Linked DNA regions of Saccharomyces cerevisiae S288C. The protein of the gene in region 1 purifies or fractionates together with the protein of each later gene. This does not show direct contact. Each region holds a gene or a part of one and is shown in the gene's direction. Other genes may lie near its edges.

Region 1 (5,185 bases):
TTATAAATACAATTACACTTTTACCGATTTCTTGATGTTTAAGAACTCTTGTTTTTTCTGTAAGCAAACATCTGAAAATCTCACATCTCTTTCTATCTTACTTTTATTCAAGTCTACTTAAATTTGTCTTTTTTTCTTTTCTTCTTTCTCTACCAATTATAATAAGTGTATGAGCTACAACCACTTAGATTAAAGGTAATACACATAAATAGAAAGGTTTGCGTAAAATATTTCAGTTTGAATAATTATCTCCTCAGTGGAATAAAAAACATCAAAGAATAGAAATAGTCGCTGTATTTTGATGATTGCTTCAGAAATTTTTGAAAGAGGTGTACAAGATCCATTTTGTCAAGATTGTGATTATGAAGATGAAACAGACGTACAAAGTTTTTTAGGTTCAAATGATTTGAATGATTTTGTAAATTCCAAATTAGCGTCCTTTAGTTTTCAAAATTCCTCGAAATCAAATAATTCTCACCACAGCAGCAGTACCAATGCCGGTAATACAAGCAGACACATAGGCAATCATACTATTGGCCACCATTTGAGAAAAATCAAGACAGCTCCGCATCACTTGTATGGCTTCGTCCCAGCAAATTCAACGAACAATTCCAATGAACCAATTCGCCCTTCTCCAAGAAGAATAAGAGCAAATAGTAGCACCCTCATTCACCAGTTGTCCAGACAATCCACAAGACAGTCTTCCTTGGGCGACGCGGCGGATTCCTGTTTTGACCACAAATGCATAAAGCCAAGATCCAGGCATTCTTCCTGTTACGGTATACCAACACATCTATACGGCCTTGAAAAATACGTTTCATCCGAGCTAGACTCTCTAGCAGTAGCTAACGACCAGTCAAATGATCTCACTTCCCCATTAACATCTGTTTCAACACCCGCCTCGAATTCCAACTCGTATTTGAATCTGAATTCAAGTTCGGCTGCATATCCGTCGTCTTATCTCTCCAACGAAAAGAATAATCGACTAAAATTGATTTCCCATGGGAAAATATCATCAAATAACGTCCCAGGTCACAGTGGAAACCTTAACCACTATCACAGAGAACGAACGCCATCAAATCTAAGAAGAGAATCCTTTTCGCTTCTTTCCAATGGTTCCTCTTCCTCTCCCTTGCAGACTAGAAACAACTCGTATTCCAACTCTTTGGTGAAATCTCCTTCCAATAGTTCATTGAATACTAGTGTGGCTTCTTCTAACGAAGAATCTAGTCCTCACACTTCTAATTGCCTGGAGGAAAGGAATCCCAGGAGAAAATCATTCATAAAATTGTCACTAGCGAGTTCATTCTCCAATTGAAAACGAAACATATGCATCTGGCGAACTCCGTAATTCGCCTAACTTTTAATGAATTCATGAACGGGAAATAAGAAAAACAAAAAGAAAATATACATAGTTAGTTACTATCCACTCAATAATATTAAACGAGTGAATGCTTTTACTTTTAACTTTAGTTTAATCTTAATTTACATTATTTTAGTATCATCAGTTTCCCTTTGCTTACTTGATTTGGGAGGGACACCTTTATACGCTTTCGTACTAACTGATCAAATGAAAAGCTTACCAGAAACTTACGATGCTATTGTGAAGGAGAAAAAAAAAGCGAAAAGAGGCATCGTTTTAACGCACACTAACAGAAGACTCTATTTCTCTTGTCAGCCAACAAACGTTGAAGATTTCATCAGGAAAGAAGGAAGGGCAGCAAGACCGAATATACTTTTTATATTACATCAATCATTGTCATTATCAAATGGTCGGTTCCGGTTCTCACACTCCTTATGATATATCAAACTCTCCATCTGATGTAAATGTCCAACCCGCAACACAACTAAATTCCACCTTGGTGGAGGATGACGATGTAGATAATCAGCTATTTGAAGAGGCTCAAGTCACTGAGACTGGATTCCGTTCGCCTTCAGCTTCAGACAATTCATGTGCGTATTGTGGTATAGATTCTGCAAAGTGTGTCATCAAATGTAATTCATGTAAGAAATGGTTTTGTAACACTAAAAACGGTACAAGCAGCTCCCACATTGTTAATCACTTAGTTTTATCCCACCATAACGTAGTTTCTTTACATCCAGATTCTGACTTAGGGGATACCGTTTTGGAATGTTATAACTGTGGACGTAAGAACGTGTTTTTATTGGGATTTGTTTCCGCTAAAAGTGAGGCCGTGGTTGTTTTACTTTGTAGAATACCTTGTGCCCAGACGAAAAATGCGAACTGGGATACTGATCAATGGCAACCATTAATTGAAGACAGACAACTTTTATCATGGGTCGCAGAGCAACCAACTGAAGAAGAAAAATTGAAAGCTCGTTTAATCACTCCTAGCCAAATTTCCAAGTTGGAGGCAAAATGGAGATCCAATAAAGACGCTACAATTAATGATATTGACGCCCCAGAGGAACAGGAAGCAATCCCACCTTTACTATTGAGATATCAAGACGCCTACGAATACCAAAGATCTTACGGGCCTTTAATCAAATTGGAGGCCGACTATGATAAACAACTCAAGGAATCTCAAGCTTTAGAACATATTTCTGTTTCATGGTCCTTAGCTTTAAATAATAGGCATTTAGCATCTTTCACTTTATCTACTTTCGAATCTAACGAGTTGAAAGTTGCCATCGGTGATGAAATGATACTATGGTACTCTGGCATGCAACATCCTGATTGGGAAGGTCGTGGTTACATTGTTCGGTTACCAAATAGCTTCCAGGACACATTCACATTAGAGTTAAAACCAAGTAAAACGCCACCTCCAACACATTTGACCACTGGTTTTACTGCTGAGTTCATCTGGAAAGGTACCTCTTATGACAGGATGCAAGACGCATTGAAAAAATTTGCCATTGATAAAAAATCTATTTCAGGTTATTTGTACTATAAAATTTTAGGCCATCAAGTGGTTGACATTTCATTTGATGTCCCATTACCTAAGGAGTTTTCAATTCCGAATTTTGCACAATTAAACTCATCCCAGTCGAACGCTGTTAGTCATGTATTACAACGTCCGTTATCTTTAATTCAAGGCCCACCAGGCACTGGTAAAACAGTTACTTCAGCAACGATTGTGTATCACCTTTCCAAAATACACAAGGATAGAATATTGGTGTGTGCCCCATCAAACGTTGCTGTAGATCATTTGGCTGCCAAATTACGTGACTTGGGTTTAAAAGTTGTTAGACTTACCGCGAAAAGTAGAGAAGATGTGGAGAGTTCCGTCTCCAACTTAGCATTGCATAATTTGGTTGGCCGTGGTGCTAAAGGGGAATTAAAAAACCTATTAAAGTTAAAGGATGAAGTTGGCGAATTATCTGCTTCTGATACAAAACGGTTTGTTAAATTAGTAAGGAAAACAGAAGCAGAAATTCTCAATAAGGCAGATGTCGTATGTTGCACATGTGTTGGTGCTGGTGATAAGCGCTTAGACACTAAATTTAGGACTGTGTTAATTGATGAAAGTACTCAAGCTTCTGAGCCGGAATGTTTAATCCCAATCGTTAAAGGTGCGAAACAAGTTATACTTGTTGGTGATCACCAGCAACTGGGCCCAGTCATATTGGAACGAAAGGCGGCAGACGCTGGTTTGAAACAATCTCTCTTTGAAAGATTAATCTCTCTAGGCCACGTACCGATTCGTTTGGAAGTTCAATACCGTATGAATCCTTATTTGAGTGAGTTTCCAAGTAACATGTTTTATGAAGGCAGCCTACAAAATGGTGTAACGATTGAACAGCGTACCGTTCCCAACAGCAAATTCCCATGGCCAATTCGCGGTATACCAATGATGTTTTGGGCCAATTACGGTAGAGAGGAGATTTCTGCTAACGGTACTTCCTTCTTAAACAGAATTGAAGCCATGAATTGTGAACGAATCATCACTAAACTTTTCAGAGACGGTGTCAAGCCCGAGCAAATTGGTGTTATCACACCATATGAGGGACAAAGAGCTTATATTTTACAATATATGCAAATGAATGGTTCATTGGATAAGGATTTGTATATCAAAGTGGAAGTTGCCTCAGTTGATGCATTCCAAGGTCGTGAAAAGGATTACATAATCTTATCGTGTGTTCGTGCCAATGAACAACAGGCCATTGGTTTCTTACGTGATCCTCGTCGTCTAAACGTGGGTCTAACCCGTGCCAAATATGGTCTAGTTATTCTTGGTAATCCTAGATCTTTGGCAAGAAACACATTATGGAACCATCTGTTAATCCACTTCAGAGAGAAGGGTTGTTTAGTCGAAGGTACGTTGGATAACTTACAGTTATGCACTGTTCAATTAGTTCGTCCTCAGCCAAGAAAGACTGAACGGCCAATGAACGCTCAATTTAACGTAGAATCTGAAATGGGTGACTTTCCGAAGTTCCAGGATTTTGATGCACAGAGTATGGTGTCATTCAGTGGTCAAATTGGGGACTTTGGTAATGCATTTGTTGACAACACAGAACTTTCTTCTTACATCAATAATGAATATTGGAATTTTGAGAATTTTAAAAGTGCTTTTTCTCAAAAGCAAAATCGCAATGAAATTGACGATAGAAATTTGTACCAGGAGGAGGCTTCTCATTTGAACTCTAACTTCGCGAGAGAGTTACAGAGAGAAGAACAAAAGCATGAATTGTCAAAAGACTTCAGCAATTTGGGAATATAATTCGGTGAACCCTGTTAAAATAAAATGTTAAACTTGGCTTGTGATACAAAACGGCTCAACCGTGAAATGAGCGCTGCAAAATTATTCGAGATAGACTCGCAATTTGCACAATTGTAACCTGAAAAACTTTTTTTACTTTTCCGGAGGTGCATCTATCATTACAGTATGTGATAAAGGGGCATGGACTTGATATCCTAGCCTACTAATCTCTTTGCTAAAACATGTTGCAACCAAATAGGGCTACCATTGTACTTCTAATGAATACTCTTTACGGCGCACTGCAATGCGTAATAAAGTTTTATTGTAGCGAGGTTTCATTTTTGCTTATGTTCTTTTTATTGTTTAATACGTGCATATGTATTCTATAAGATAAATGTATATAACTGCCAACAAAATAAACTAAAATCAAGGTATGGCTGTAGAAAATGATACCACAGATAATAAAATAATAAATAATCTAATAGCTGAGTGGAAGAAAAAAAAAAAATAAAAAAAGAGTA
Region 2 (4,530 bases), on another chromosome or scaffold:
TGAAGATTGGAGAGGTCTGGTACTTCGAAATGTATAGAGAATAGTTAACTGGACCTTCTACAACAAATTCTGGATAGTATTTAAAAGGCACTGGAGCATGCGCTCTCAAAAAATCAGCGTTGTCCACGTTTTCAACACCTATTTGGTCCGGAATTAATGGCAATTTAATTTGTTTAAACGGAAATTCGTGTTCAGGATCCACAACACGAATCAAGAACGTAGATGCACCACAAATAAAGTCGAAAACCTCTAGTTGAAGAGATCTATGAGCGAAGAACCCTTGAAGAGCAAATCGCAAAGATTCTGTTGTTTTCAACGCCTTCTCCATCTTGGATAATTGTGCTGTAATGAATCTGGCAAAGACATCGTGGTTCGCAGCTATTTTCTTTACTTTTTCAATTTCTTCCTTTAACGCTTTGATTTCAGATCCCATCTTCTCTTCAAATGATAATGTACCTCCCAGACCATAATGCAAATAGGTTAATGTCAAGAAAAAGCAATCAGAGATGAAGTTTGGCTTAGAATCTGCTGTTTTTCTGTTCTTGTCATAAAATGCATCTGCCTCTTTAAAATCAGAATTTAATCGTGTTTCCCCTGATAAATCAATAAATAAACTTGGGTTGTTGAAGTAATTTGCGTCGATCTTGTCGATTTTCTTATATGAAATATCTAGAAATGGTTGAGAAAATCTAACCAATAACAAAGTGATATTGGACATAAATCCGTTAGAGGATAGTTCTTTGAATGGTGGATGATCGGCTCTACGTAAATGGTTTTTATTAGCGATATGGGCAAAATAACTAATCATATCAGTCCTTGAGTTTAAGGAGCCACGAACAAGCTTATCGACAATAAAAAAGAGTCTATCTATGACAACTTTATGCTCAGCTTGTAGAGATTCATGGATCATGGCTGTCTGTTGTTTGGAACGCAAAAGGTTATCGCCGTAGTTCCGGATTGCCACAGCAGCTTCTATGGGAGAAAGAGATAAAATAGGCCCCAATATCGTTTTCCTTTCAAAATCCTGTGGTTTACAGCTATAGTCTGCAAAAAAACCATCTATTTTAGTGAATATTTCTGCAATAGGTTTAAATGTAACAAATAACTCAAAAATGGTAAGAACGTTATTGTAAATTACAGATTCGTTCAAATCAAAATGGCTGACATGTTTATTACAGTATTCTAATAATGTCGGGAAAACAGCGTTAAGTAAATCCAAAGCGGTACCTTCTAATATGGCTCTTTGAATGATTTGGGAAAGGAAATCAGTATATGAGTTAACGTTAGAAACAATTCCAGTGATATAATTGATGAAAGCACCATTCATGCAAAAGTTTTCTATTTGTAAGGCAACGACACCATAGCCAATGACAAGACGATCAATCTCTTGGAAAGTGGAATGTAATGACTCAGCATTTGGCTTGTTTTTGGTGATTCTTTTTTGTTGCTGATTACGGCGAAAGCAATCGTTCAAATATTCAAACGGTTTATCCAACTTCTCATTCTCGGTGAGTTGATATAATAGTAGCGTATCAATAAAATCAACTCCAAGAGTTGAGCCTTGAGGCACTTCCTCGGACTTCAATAGAGAGTAGCCACGGGTATCGGAAGGATCGGTGGTGATTTGTAAAATATCTTCTATGGCGGTCATGATCTATGGAATGAGGGTTCTACTTTCAAAGTTAACTTTTCCCCTTAAACAACTTGTGGTCAACTTTACCTTTCTATTGGCTGACACAATTCTCAAAGATATAATTAACGTTTACTGTGGCAACAGCAAGTGGTTGAGTCTAAAAATGTGAATAAAATGGCAATTACTTAATGATTAACAATGATTGCGGCGTACACCTCTATTATTTTGTTGCCAATGGTTAGAATCTACCTTTGATCTTCAATTCACCTTTTGTAATAAAGACAGACTATCGCCTCTGACGAATACTGACAAAATAGCGTCCTCGACGAAAGGATGAATCGTTAAGCGCAAAATAATATTGATATAATAAGAATATCGATTAAGAAGCGTTGGCTAGTGTCATATGCGGGTTAGCCTATCTGTTTCTTCTTTCTTTCACATACAACTCGACAAGTTTTGGCGTAGGCAATTGAGCCATATTGTACCAGCAAGCCGTGGTGACAGTATGTTGAAACGTGCATCTTATAATGGGCGCACGATTTATTTTATTTTAATTAATTTTTTAGTTATTTCGTATCGTACTAACAACTAAGATATTCAAGTCTCTTCAAGTATATAAGGAGTTAGGGCAGAAGTAGGTGATGACAGCACTAGATTCTCGAAACTGGGGATTGACACCCGCTATGGAAACGGGCTTGTTCCAGAAACCACAGGACCGTATCTTTATAATAGAGCTGGAAAATTCCATAGTGTCATTCATAAACTCAAACACAGAATCATTTCAGCTAAGACCGATGAATTCATATTATAGGCTTCTATCGCACCAAATAGCTGAGTACCACAACTTGAACCATGTTTTGGCAAGAACTCAAGATAGTTGTGTGATTCTTTTCAAAGGTGAGAATTTCCAAAAGATTGAAGGAAAGCCACTCTTACAAGAGTTGCAGCTGAACAAAAAACCGGAAGAGTGTGCTTCCTCAAGTGAGAGTATTGAAAAATCGAACAATAACAGAATATTTCGAATCTTAAAGCGGAAAGAGGTAGGTAACGAGTGCGATTATAAAATCGATGGCAATACACGTACACCAAATAGCAATTTGACAGCCAATTCAAATAAGGACCAAAAAATCGAAATCGATGATAAATCTAGTACTGATTTGGAACAAGAAAGAATTGAGAAGGAAAGACTTTATGAACAACGTAAACAAGAAATTTTTGATAAGCTCAACAAGAGTGAAGACGATGTAAAGTCAACCAACAGTAGCGGTAGTAGTGATAGTGACAATGAATGGAGTGATTGGTTGAACGGAGATGACTCTAACACACAAACTAGTAACGGTTCAGTTAGCTCTTCATCACCATTCAATTCATCTGTGACGACGATACAAGTAAACAAACCTCAACAACAATTTTATGATAGTCGAAGAGGAAGAGGAGGAAGAAGAAGAGGAACAAACAATTACAAAGATGCCTATAGAGGCCAAAGTCGTCGGAATAAAGAAAACGGCGGTTACCAATCGGGATATTCTTCGCCATATCTTGTGTATCCTCCTCCCCAAATGGGTGGCAATAGTCTGCCAACCTACCCTCTAATGTATAACCCCGCTGGTCCTGCCCCCGGTCCTGCACCTTCACCCATGGTAATGGGCAATAACACAGTCTTCATGAACCCTTACATGTACAATATGAATCCCCAAGGGTCCTGTTCGTTTGGCACCCCAATCCCTATGTATCCCCCATACCAATATCAATATCAATACCAATATAACACTCAGTATCACAGCGGGCCATATAGCAATACACCAAGCTATAATTCTAACAATTACACAAGATCCTCAGCAAATAAGTACCACCATTTTCAAGGAAAAAATTCATATTCTGGTGCGATTCCGAAACGTAGTGATGACAGTAACAGTAATAAGAATGAGGGAATTCGTAGGGCTAGTGTTGAGGGTTCGCCGTCATCTAGGGATACTGATTCGGTAGAGATGAAATTTGATAAATTAAACATTTAGCGTGAGGAGTGAACTATACATAGCGAAAAAATTACGTAACGGTTTATAGAAATTCTAGTATGAGAACAGTAATATATGAGAAAAAGTTGTTTTCACTTTGTGTTCGAAAAAATAAGTATTTGAAAACGAAAAAATAGTTTGTATGTTTGTATATAAGTTGTTATTATCAAAAATTAGAGGGAAAAAGTAACTAAATATATATTAAAAAAAAAAAAAAAATAAATGTATGTTGGAATGAAATAGCGTAGTAAGGATAAAGGTGTAATAGATATATATTATAAGAAATAATCCGGTGTCTTCCTGGTGACGGTTGGTTCACCGGGTCTCACAGATGGATCGTATTGTAAGAATTGCCTATTATGGTTTTCATCCACCTCCATAATAGCGGCCTGGTTACCACATCTATAACAATAATTTGGAGCACTGAAAATGGTGACAACATTTTGCTGGTGAGACCAAGAATATCCTTCCATTACCAATTGGTGAGCTCTTGCTATTAGTGATAGGTCATTAGTGTGATTGAATTGCTCACTGATGTCTTGACCAAAAGTGAAGCCTGCACCTCTCGGACTGATTCCCCATCCGCCTCTATCATCAGGATCGGACCATAGAAGGTCACACATTGGACCTTCGTGAGGCACTTCCTGTATTCTATTTAAATCTCTAACTTGATCTATTGTCTCTATCATGGGTGAGAGACCTCCATGCAAACAGAAGATTTTATTATCCACCAAGGCAGTAACGGGGAAATAATCGAATAGATCGGTAAACATTTTCCACACGTTCGCACTGCCGTACTTTCTCAAACATTCGTCATAAAACCCATATACTTGGGTAATCTGCCTAGACTCGTGATTGCCCCTAAGTATAGTAATTCTATGT
Region 3 (5,659 bases), on another chromosome or scaffold:
TCCAGCTCCGTTTCCACCTCTGTGTCCGAACAATCACTTTCAAAGGCGCTGGATGGCTTCTTGGAGTAATAGTTGTTCAAATTCTGTAAAATTGGTTTACCAATTCTCTCTATGACATCATGTGCCCATAGGACATCAATATGGGCATACTCATCAATGTACCAGATCTTGTAGTTGACATTCGACTCCACATTGACGAAATGATTGATTAGTCTTTCTCCGTCCACCAATCTATCTTGCTTTGGAACAAACAAGTAGATATTTGGGGCCTTTGATGCGTCTGAAAACCACTTAACATTGTCGGGGAACATCTTATGGGAACCAAATTTAAAACTTACCTTGTTGGGGTCGGGTGACAGCCACCATTGCATCAACTTCACTGAAACATGGACTGGCGAAAACAGGAAATGGCGATCTCTTAATGCGGTATCCCAAAGGGTATCGTTCCAATCAAACAGGTAATTGAAGATGGTGTAACAAACAAAGGAGAACAAGCTCTCACCAACGCACAAGTTTCTTACAATCATCATTATCTCAAAAAAGCTCGTTTCACCAAAGAACCAGGGATTTTCGATTTCCTTTGTCATAAGCTTAACAAACAATTTCTCGTTAAGTAAGGGACCAGGATACACTGCGGGGGCCAAGGCAATATAGTTTGCGATCTTAGAAGTGAAAAAAGATTCTTTAGATCCCGAACCGGGAGGGAAAAACTTATCTTCGTTGACCAAGCCCATAAACCCCTGTGTAGTGCCCTGAGAATGCGAGATCAAAGTAAGCTTTTCAAACTGCGTCTTAGCTAACACGGTATCAATCAAAAGGGTCAGATCGTACTTAACCATCTCGCGAAGGTCCCAGTCCCACCTGGAAGCTAGTGTCGGTACTTTCGCTTCGTTCCATTCCGGCCTAAACCCGCATCTGTTATTCCCTAACCATATGTCGTAACCGGATTGATACAGAAAATATGCCAGAGATTTTCTACCATTGGATGCGAACGAACCACTGCTTTGCAAAAGGCCATGTAGCATCAAAATGGGTGGCCTCTTCTTCTTGTCAGAATCTGTCGTTCTATATTTTGGTATCAAGTGCCACAAATCTATAACAAACCCATCTTCGGTCTCCAATCTAAATTCCTCTATTTGAATATTGTACTGGTTAAAATAATAATTAAGATCCGCAACTAATGTCAAGTCTTCCGATAAGATTAGATTCTGTAATGGATTGTCGCACTGTACAGGAATTTTTTCAAAAACCGGTTCATGATTGGCAATTTCATTGCTACTATTATTGAACTTTCCTTGCGTTACGCCTTCGGTAACTTTTTCCTTCTCGATAAACCTAAAAATAAGCTTTGTCAAAAATTTGTGAAAAAGGTTTTTATGCAGTGACGAGGACCCCACTTCGTGGTTCTTTTTACGGACAACCGTTCTTGTATGATCGTAGACGATACCGTTTTTCTTGTCATGTTCCAGATCGAGGTATGGCGTCGCGTATGCATTGGTTCTAGTGAGAACATGGTCATGGTGTACGTTTCTTTTACTTTCGTCATCAACTTCGATTTGGGTCGATGAACTCCTAGTGTCTCTGTGCTCATTTATAAAATGGTGTGCCAGCGCCAGAACAAGCACTACTGCCATAAAACAGCAGACTATGAACGTTGCTAGTAAATTCCTAGCTCTTTTCAACACCGCAGAAACACCCATCGTGTGAATTGTGCAGTAAATATACCTATATATAAAACTATTACTTTATCTGCAGCCATCTATATTAAAAAATAAGTATTTTTGTGTATAACAATAGATTTCTATATATATATGTATATATATATATATATATAAATTTAGATTAACCACAATATCATTTTATCGCTGCATTTTTTTCATCTTCTTTCGTTCCTTCGCGTTTCTTTTCTCGTATATAATAAGCTTTTGCACATTGCCTGCGATACGTCCGAAAAGGGAACGTTTTTTCCCGATCAGACCGCCCCAGAACTTCTCGAAGAAAAGTGCCCGAGGGCAGAGCAGCAAGACCTAAAAAATTCGTGCCGGGGTTTGAGCTAGAAAAAGAGGGCTAAAGATAAACATCCGATCGCTATCTACGGTAATTGCGCACTCTGTTACCCTGAACTGCATTTCTTTTTTCCTTCTAAAAATTGTGGAGAGAGGAAGATAATTTCCCAAATGTACCATTAGCACACTTGAGAATGTATATTGGATGTATGAAGCTTGATGAATAGGAGAAAAAAAAAAACAAAGAAAAGAAGGAAAAAGAAAAATAAGTGGTGCCTGCACATATTTGAATATCTACTGTAAATAGTATAACACTGCTTAGCTAATTTTTTTCTGGTCATCTGGTCTCTAAAGAGAAACATAAGAAAAAGATAGGAACATTGAAAGGCGGTGAAAAGGAAACTTCCTTGCTACTGATATATCTATAAGCATAGAAGTACGCAAGCAAACAAGAAAACAAACAAGAACTACGCATTTAAATTTCTTCTGAATAACGCAATATTGCGGGTATAAATGGAAATGAACATGGATATGGATATGGATATGGAACTCGCATCCATAGTTTCTTCTTTAAGCGCCCTGTCCCATAGTAACAACAACGGCGGTCAGGCCGCCGCGGCCGGCATTGTGAACGGCGGTGCTGCTGGATCACAGCAAATTGGCGGCTTCAGAAGGTCGAGTTTCACCACGGCAAATGAAGTAGATTCAGAGATCTTGCTGCTTCACGGTTCCAGTGAATCTTCACCGATCTTCAAGAAAACCGCCCTATCAGTTGGTACTGCTCCGCCATTCTCCACGAACTCGAAAAAGTTTTTTGGTAACGGCGGCAATTATTACCAGTACAGATCAACCGACACTGCCTCCCTGTCATCCGCATCGTACAATAACTATCATACTCATCATACTGCGGCTAATCTCGGGAAAAACAACAAGGTCAACCATCTTCTGGGCCAGTATTCAGCTTCCATTGCTGGTCCCGTTTACTACAATGGCAATGACAACAACAACTCTGGTGGGGAAGGGTTTTTTGAGAAGTTCGGAAAATCTTTGATTGACGGTACAAGGGAACTGGAATCTCAAGATAGACCCGACGCTGTCAATACTCAGTCCCAATTCATATCAAAAAGCGTCTCTAACGCCAGCTTAGACACACAGAATACTTTCGAGCAAAATGTCGAGTCTGACAAAAACTTCAACAAATTGAATAGGAACACTACTAACAGTGGTTCGCTTTACCACTCCAGTTCAAATTCAGGCTCATCTGCGTCTTTAGAGTCCGAAAATGCTCATTACCCCAAGAGAAATATCTGGAACGTAGCCAACACACCAGTATTTAGACCTAGTAACAATCCAGCCGCTGTTGGGGCCACAAATGTCGCGCTTCCTAACCAACAAGATGGGCCTGCAAATAACAATTTCCCCCCCTACATGAACGGCTTCCCACCCAATCAGTTTCATCAGGGCCCTCATTACCAAAACTTCCCCAACTACTTGATCGGATCTCCTTCAAATTTCATCTCCCAGATGATTTCAGTACAGATTCCAGCAAATGAAGACACCGAAGACTCAAATGGTAAGAAAAAGAAGAAGGCAAACAGACCTTCTTCTGTTTCTTCACCTTCGTCCCCTCCAAACAATTCTCCGTTCCCGTTTGCCTACCCCAACCCAATGATGTTTATGCCACCTCCACCACTCTCTGCTCCCCAGCAACAACAGCAACAGCAACAACAACAACAACAAGAAGACCAACAACAGCAACAGCAACAGGAGAATCCTTATATTTACTACCCTACTCCAAATCCTATACCTGTCAAAATGCCCAAGGACGAAAAAACCTTCAAGAAAAGAAATAACAAGAATCATCCTGCAAATAACTCCAACAACGCCAACAAACAGGCAAATCCTTATCTAGAAAATTCTATACCCACAAAGAATACCTCTAAAAAGAATGCTTCTTCCAAATCTAATGAGTCAACGGCCAACAACCATAAATCTCACTCTCATTCTCATCCTCATTCTCAAAGTCTACAGCAACAGCAGCAAACGTATCATCGATCGCCGTTGTTAGAGCAACTAAGAAACAGTAGTTCTGACAAAAATTCAAACTCGAACATGTCACTAAAAGACATCTTTGGCCATTCCTTAGAGTTTTGCAAAGATCAACATGGTTCACGGTTCATTCAGCGCGAGTTGGCCACCTCACCAGCCTCAGAAAAGGAGGTCATATTCAATGAAATTCGCGATGACGCCATTGAGCTTTCGAACGATGTATTTGGTAATTACGTCATTCAGAAGTTTTTTGAATTTGGTAGCAAAATTCAAAAAAATACTTTGGTTGATCAATTTAAAGGTAACATGAAACAGTTATCTCTACAAATGTACGCATGTCGTGTAATTCAAAAGGCGTTAGAATATATTGATTCCAATCAAAGAATTGAGTTAGTCCTGGAATTATCTGACTCCGTTTTGCAAATGATCAAAGATCAGAACGGTAATCACGTAATTCAAAAGGCCATCGAAACAATTCCTATCGAAAAATTACCTTTTATCTTAAGTTCTTTAACTGGCCACATTTACCATCTATCTACCCACTCCTACGGCTGTAGGGTCATTCAAAGATTGTTAGAATTTGGTTCGAGCGAAGATCAGGAAAGCATTTTAAACGAATTGAAAGATTTCATACCATATCTAATTCAAGACCAATATGGTAACTATGTCATTCAATATGTTTTGCAACAAGATCAGTTCACCAATAAGGAAATGGTCGATATCAAACAGGAAATCATAGAAACTGTGGCCAATAATGTTGTCGAATACTCTAAACATAAATTTGCCTCCAACGTGGTCGAAAAATCTATTCTTTATGGCTCTAAAAATCAGAAGGATTTAATAATTTCTAAGATTTTACCAAGAGACAAAAATCATGCTTTGAATCTGGAAGACGATTCTCCAATGATTTTAATGATCAAGGATCAATTTGCCAACTATGTGATTCAAAAATTAGTTAATGTCTCTGAGGGTGAGGGTAAGAAATTGATCGTCATTGCCATTAGAGCATATTTGGATAAACTAAACAAATCTAACTCCCTAGGAAATAGACATTTAGCCAGTGTTGAGAAACTTGCAGCATTGGTTGAAAATGCGGAGGTGTGATTAGTGTTATCATCGTTCTCCTTTCACTTTTTACTATTTTTTTTTTTTTTTTTTTTTTTTTTTTTTCCTCCATTTGTCTTTCACTTACTCTATTTTATTTTGTTTTATTTTGATATCTACTCTTGTCCATAACATTTATGTTCCCCTATATTCATTATTTGCTTTTTTCCATTACCTACTTTTTGTACCTCATCTCTATTTTTCTGCAAAAATCTTTGCGCTCTTACGCTCTTCTTATTTCTGCAACAGATAGAGAATTTAACATTGTGTATTTGAAATCATTTGACTGAGAATACTGTTGTCATGTCTTTTTACATAGAAGGAACTAAAAAAATTTAAAAAAAAAAAACACAAATAACATTATATTTACTGTACATAATAAATCAAGCCTGTTTCTAACCGTTTATAGAAGTAGTTCTTATATGTTCATCCGATTAGGGCGTATCCAAATGTCCATGCCATGACAAAACCAGTTATCTCTCTAAAAAACGATTCGAAAA
Region 4 (2,996 bases), on another chromosome or scaffold:
AATTAAAAAGCGTCAGAAAATTGTAGCATTTTTCAAAGACAACCGTGATATCACTGAAACACTACGGACTATGTTGAAAAAAGTAAATGATCTATCCCGTATACTTCAAAAGTTTAGTTTCGGAAGGGGCGAGGCATTAGAACTTATTCAAATGGCACGTTCACTAGAGGTTTCAAGAGAAATAAGAAAATATTTACTAAATAACACGTCGTTGATGAAAGCTACATTAAAGAGTCAAATCACACAGCTGACTGAGTCTTTAAATTTTGAAAAAAATTTGATTGATGATATTTTGAAGTTTTTAAATGAGGAAGAGCTAGCAAAGTCACAAGATGCTAAACAGAATGCAGATGTAACTAGAATGCTTGACATAGATGTAAAAGACAAGAAAGAAAGTAACAAAGATGAGATTTTTGAATTAAGAGATTTTATCGTAAACCCTTCGTTCAATACCAAACTTAGGAAATTGCATGACACTTATCAGGGCGTTTGGCAAAAAAAAACTGAGTACAATGCTTTATTAAAAGGTTTTTTTGTTGGCGACCTAGGTGCTAAGACTTTCACCTTGAAGGAAAGGCAAAACGGTGAGTATGCCCTCCATGTGACAGGAACAGCCTCTAGTTTAAAGAAAATTGATGAGTTAATTAGTAAATCGACGGAGTACCACGGAAGTTGCTTCCATATTTTGCAAAAATCAAGCCAAACACGATGGTTGAGTCACAAAATTTGGACAGACTTGGGGCACGAGTTGGAATTATTAAATTTAAAGATTAGGAATGAAGAGGCTAATATTATTGATCTTTTTAAAAGGAAATTTATTGATAGAAGTAACGAGGTCAGACAAGTTGCAACTACACTGGGCTATCTTGATACCTTATCGTCCTTTGCTGTGTTAGCTAACGAGAGAAATTTAGTCTGCCCAAAAGTGGATGAGAGCAATAAACTAGAAGTAGTGAATGGGAGACATCTAATGGTTGAAGAGGGTCTTTCCGCGCGCTCTTTGGAGACATTCACGGCCAATAACTGCGAATTGGCGAAGGACAATTTATGGGTAATTACCGGACCGAATATGGGTGGTAAATCTACATTCTTAAGACAGAATGCAATTATAGTCATTCTGGCGCAAATTGGATGTTTTGTTCCATGCAGTAAGGCGCGTGTGGGTATTGTAGATAAGCTTTTTAGCCGAGTTGGTTCAGCAGATGATCTGTACAATGAGATGAGTACGTTCATGGTTGAGATGATAGAAACATCGTTCATCTTGCAAGGAGCTACGGAACGGTCTTTAGCTATTCTAGATGAGATTGGCCGTGGGACTAGTGGTAAAGAAGGCATTAGCATCGCTTATGCAACTTTAAAGTATTTGTTAGAGAACAATCAATGCAGAACGCTTTTTGCTACACATTTTGGTCAAGAACTGAAGCAAATCATTGATAACAAATGTTCGAAAGGAATGAGCGAAAAGGTCAAGTTTTACCAAAGCGGAATCACTGATTTAGGTGGAAACAATTTTTGTTACAACCATAAGTTGAAGCCGGGCATCTGCACGAAATCAGATGCCATTAGAGTTGCGGAATTGGCCGGATTTCCAATGGAAGCGTTAAAAGAAGCCCGCGAAATATTGGGATAACTTTTGAATACAACTATTAATTGTATATAATTTGACATGTAATATAATAAGATGTGGAATCAATTTCCCTGTCTTTTTTTTCAAAAGCGACTGTGAAGATACTTAGAAAATGGCAAAAACGGTAGTTTGCAAATTTCCGTAGTTTGTCGCGCGAATGATATTAGCGGAAACAAAACGATCAAACCTTATACCATGAATATAATGGTGGATATTTATTACGGTAAGGAAACACTCTGAGCCAGGCTTGTAAATAGCGGTTATCTAAGCTTGTAACTAAAGAAATCAATTTGCATCTTTCGTCCATGAGTGTCAGCCTTGAGCAAACGCTCGGATTCAGAATAAAAGTTACGAACGTGTTGGATGTAGTTACTGAAGGAAGATTGTATTCGTTCAATTCATCCAACAACACTCTTACTATCCAAACAACAAAGAAGAATCAATCTCCACAAAACTTCAAGGTGATAAAATGTACATTCATCAAGCATTTGGAAGTCATTGGTGATAAGCCCTCGTTTAACTCATTCAAAAAGCAACAAATCAAACCCTCATATGTCAACGTGGAAAGAGTTGAGAAGCTTTTGAAAGAAAGTGTAATAGCATCTAAAAAGAAAGAACTCTTAAGGGGCAAGGGTGTGAGTGCAGAGGGTCAGTTCATTTTCGATCAAATCTTCAAGACCATAGGAGATACTAAGTGGGTGGCTAAAGACATCATTATTCTTGATGACGTTAAGGTGCAACCTCCATACAAGGTCGAAGATATCAAAGTGCTACATGAGGGAAGTAACCAATCCATTACATTAATTCAAAGAATAGTGGAAAGAAGCTGGGAGCAGCTAGAACAAGACGATGGTAGGAAAGGTGGATAGATTAATTAATGACGGAAACGATAATATACGTTATATATTTTATCCGTACTTCTATAATGTCAACTATTGTTTATAAAGAGATCCATTTGAGTCTACAGATTTTTCTATTTATCAAACTATAATATTCCACCACTCTCTTCTCAGTCGCAATGCTTGGGTGTACGGTGTTTGAATAATTGAATTAGATTTAAATGCGAATAAGTGATGACTAACAAGCAAAAAAATCGAGTATTTCAAGATCCAGTCGAATATAAAATCTTGCTACTGCATTATTCTACGATTTCCTGTTATCACTTATAGTACACATGTCTGAGTTTTTGAATGAAAATCCCGACATTTTAGAGGAGAACCAACTTCCCACTAGAAAAGAAGATAGTACCAAGGACCTTTTGTTAGGCGGGTTCAGCAACGAAGCTACGCTGGAAAGGAGAAGCCTTTTGCTGAAAATAGACCATTCTTTAAAGTCTCAGGTATTGCAAGATATAGAGGTCTTAGACAAG

What was found.
Region 2: the proteins of NAM7 (region 1) and RBS1 purify together in Saccharomyces cerevisiae (affinity purification with mass spectrometry; 3 studies listed by BioGRID, with this or other methods). This does not show direct contact.
Region 3: the proteins of NAM7 (region 1) and PUF3 purify together in Saccharomyces cerevisiae (affinity purification with mass spectrometry; 2 studies listed by BioGRID). This does not show direct contact.
Region 4: the proteins of NAM7 (region 1) and LSM12 purify together in Saccharomyces cerevisiae (affinity purification with mass spectrometry, with the first as the bait; one study listed by BioGRID). This does not show direct contact.

What each region holds. Positions count from the first base shown.
Region 1 is NC_001145.3:426,212-431,396, reverse strand, and holds NAM7 (ATP-dependent RNA helicase NAM7), read left to right. Parts: upstream 1-1,769; coding exon 1,770-4,685; downstream 4,686-5,185. Other genes in the region: ISF1 (Isf1p), read left to right, coding at 302-1,318. UniProt on the Saccharomyces cerevisiae protein: RNA-dependent helicase required for nonsense-mediated decay (NMD) of aberrant mRNAs containing premature stop codons and modulates the expression level of normal mRNAs. Also capable of unwinding double-stranded DNA and translocating on single-stranded DNA.
Region 2 is NC_001136.10:119,942-124,471, forward strand, and holds RBS1 (Rbs1p), read left to right. Parts: upstream 1-2,274; coding exon 2,275-3,648; downstream 3,649-4,530. Other genes in the region: ubiquitin-ubiquitin ligase UFD2, read right to left, coding at 1-1,651; phosphoprotein phosphatase 2A catalytic subunit PPH22, read right to left, coding at 3,924-4,530.
Region 3 is NC_001144.5:121,575-127,233, reverse strand, and holds PUF3 (mRNA-binding protein PUF3), read left to right. Parts: upstream 1-2,519; coding exon 2,520-5,159; downstream 5,160-5,659. Other genes in the region: YEH1 (sterol esterase), read right to left, coding at 1-1,700; EMC6 (Emc6p), read right to left, coding at 5,586-5,659. UniProt on the Saccharomyces cerevisiae protein: RNA-binding protein involved in post-transcriptional regulation. Negatively regulates expression of COX17 by binding to the 3'-UTR of COX17 mRNA. Promotes decay of COX17 mRNA by enhancing its rate of deadenylation and subsequent turnover.
Region 4 is NC_001140.6:350,824-353,819, forward strand, and holds LSM12 (Lsm12p), read left to right. Parts: upstream 1-1,932; coding exon 1,933-2,496; downstream 2,497-2,996. Other genes in the region: mismatch repair ATPase MSH1, read left to right, coding at 1-1,630; iron-sulfur cluster assembly protein CIA2, read left to right, coding at 2,802-2,996.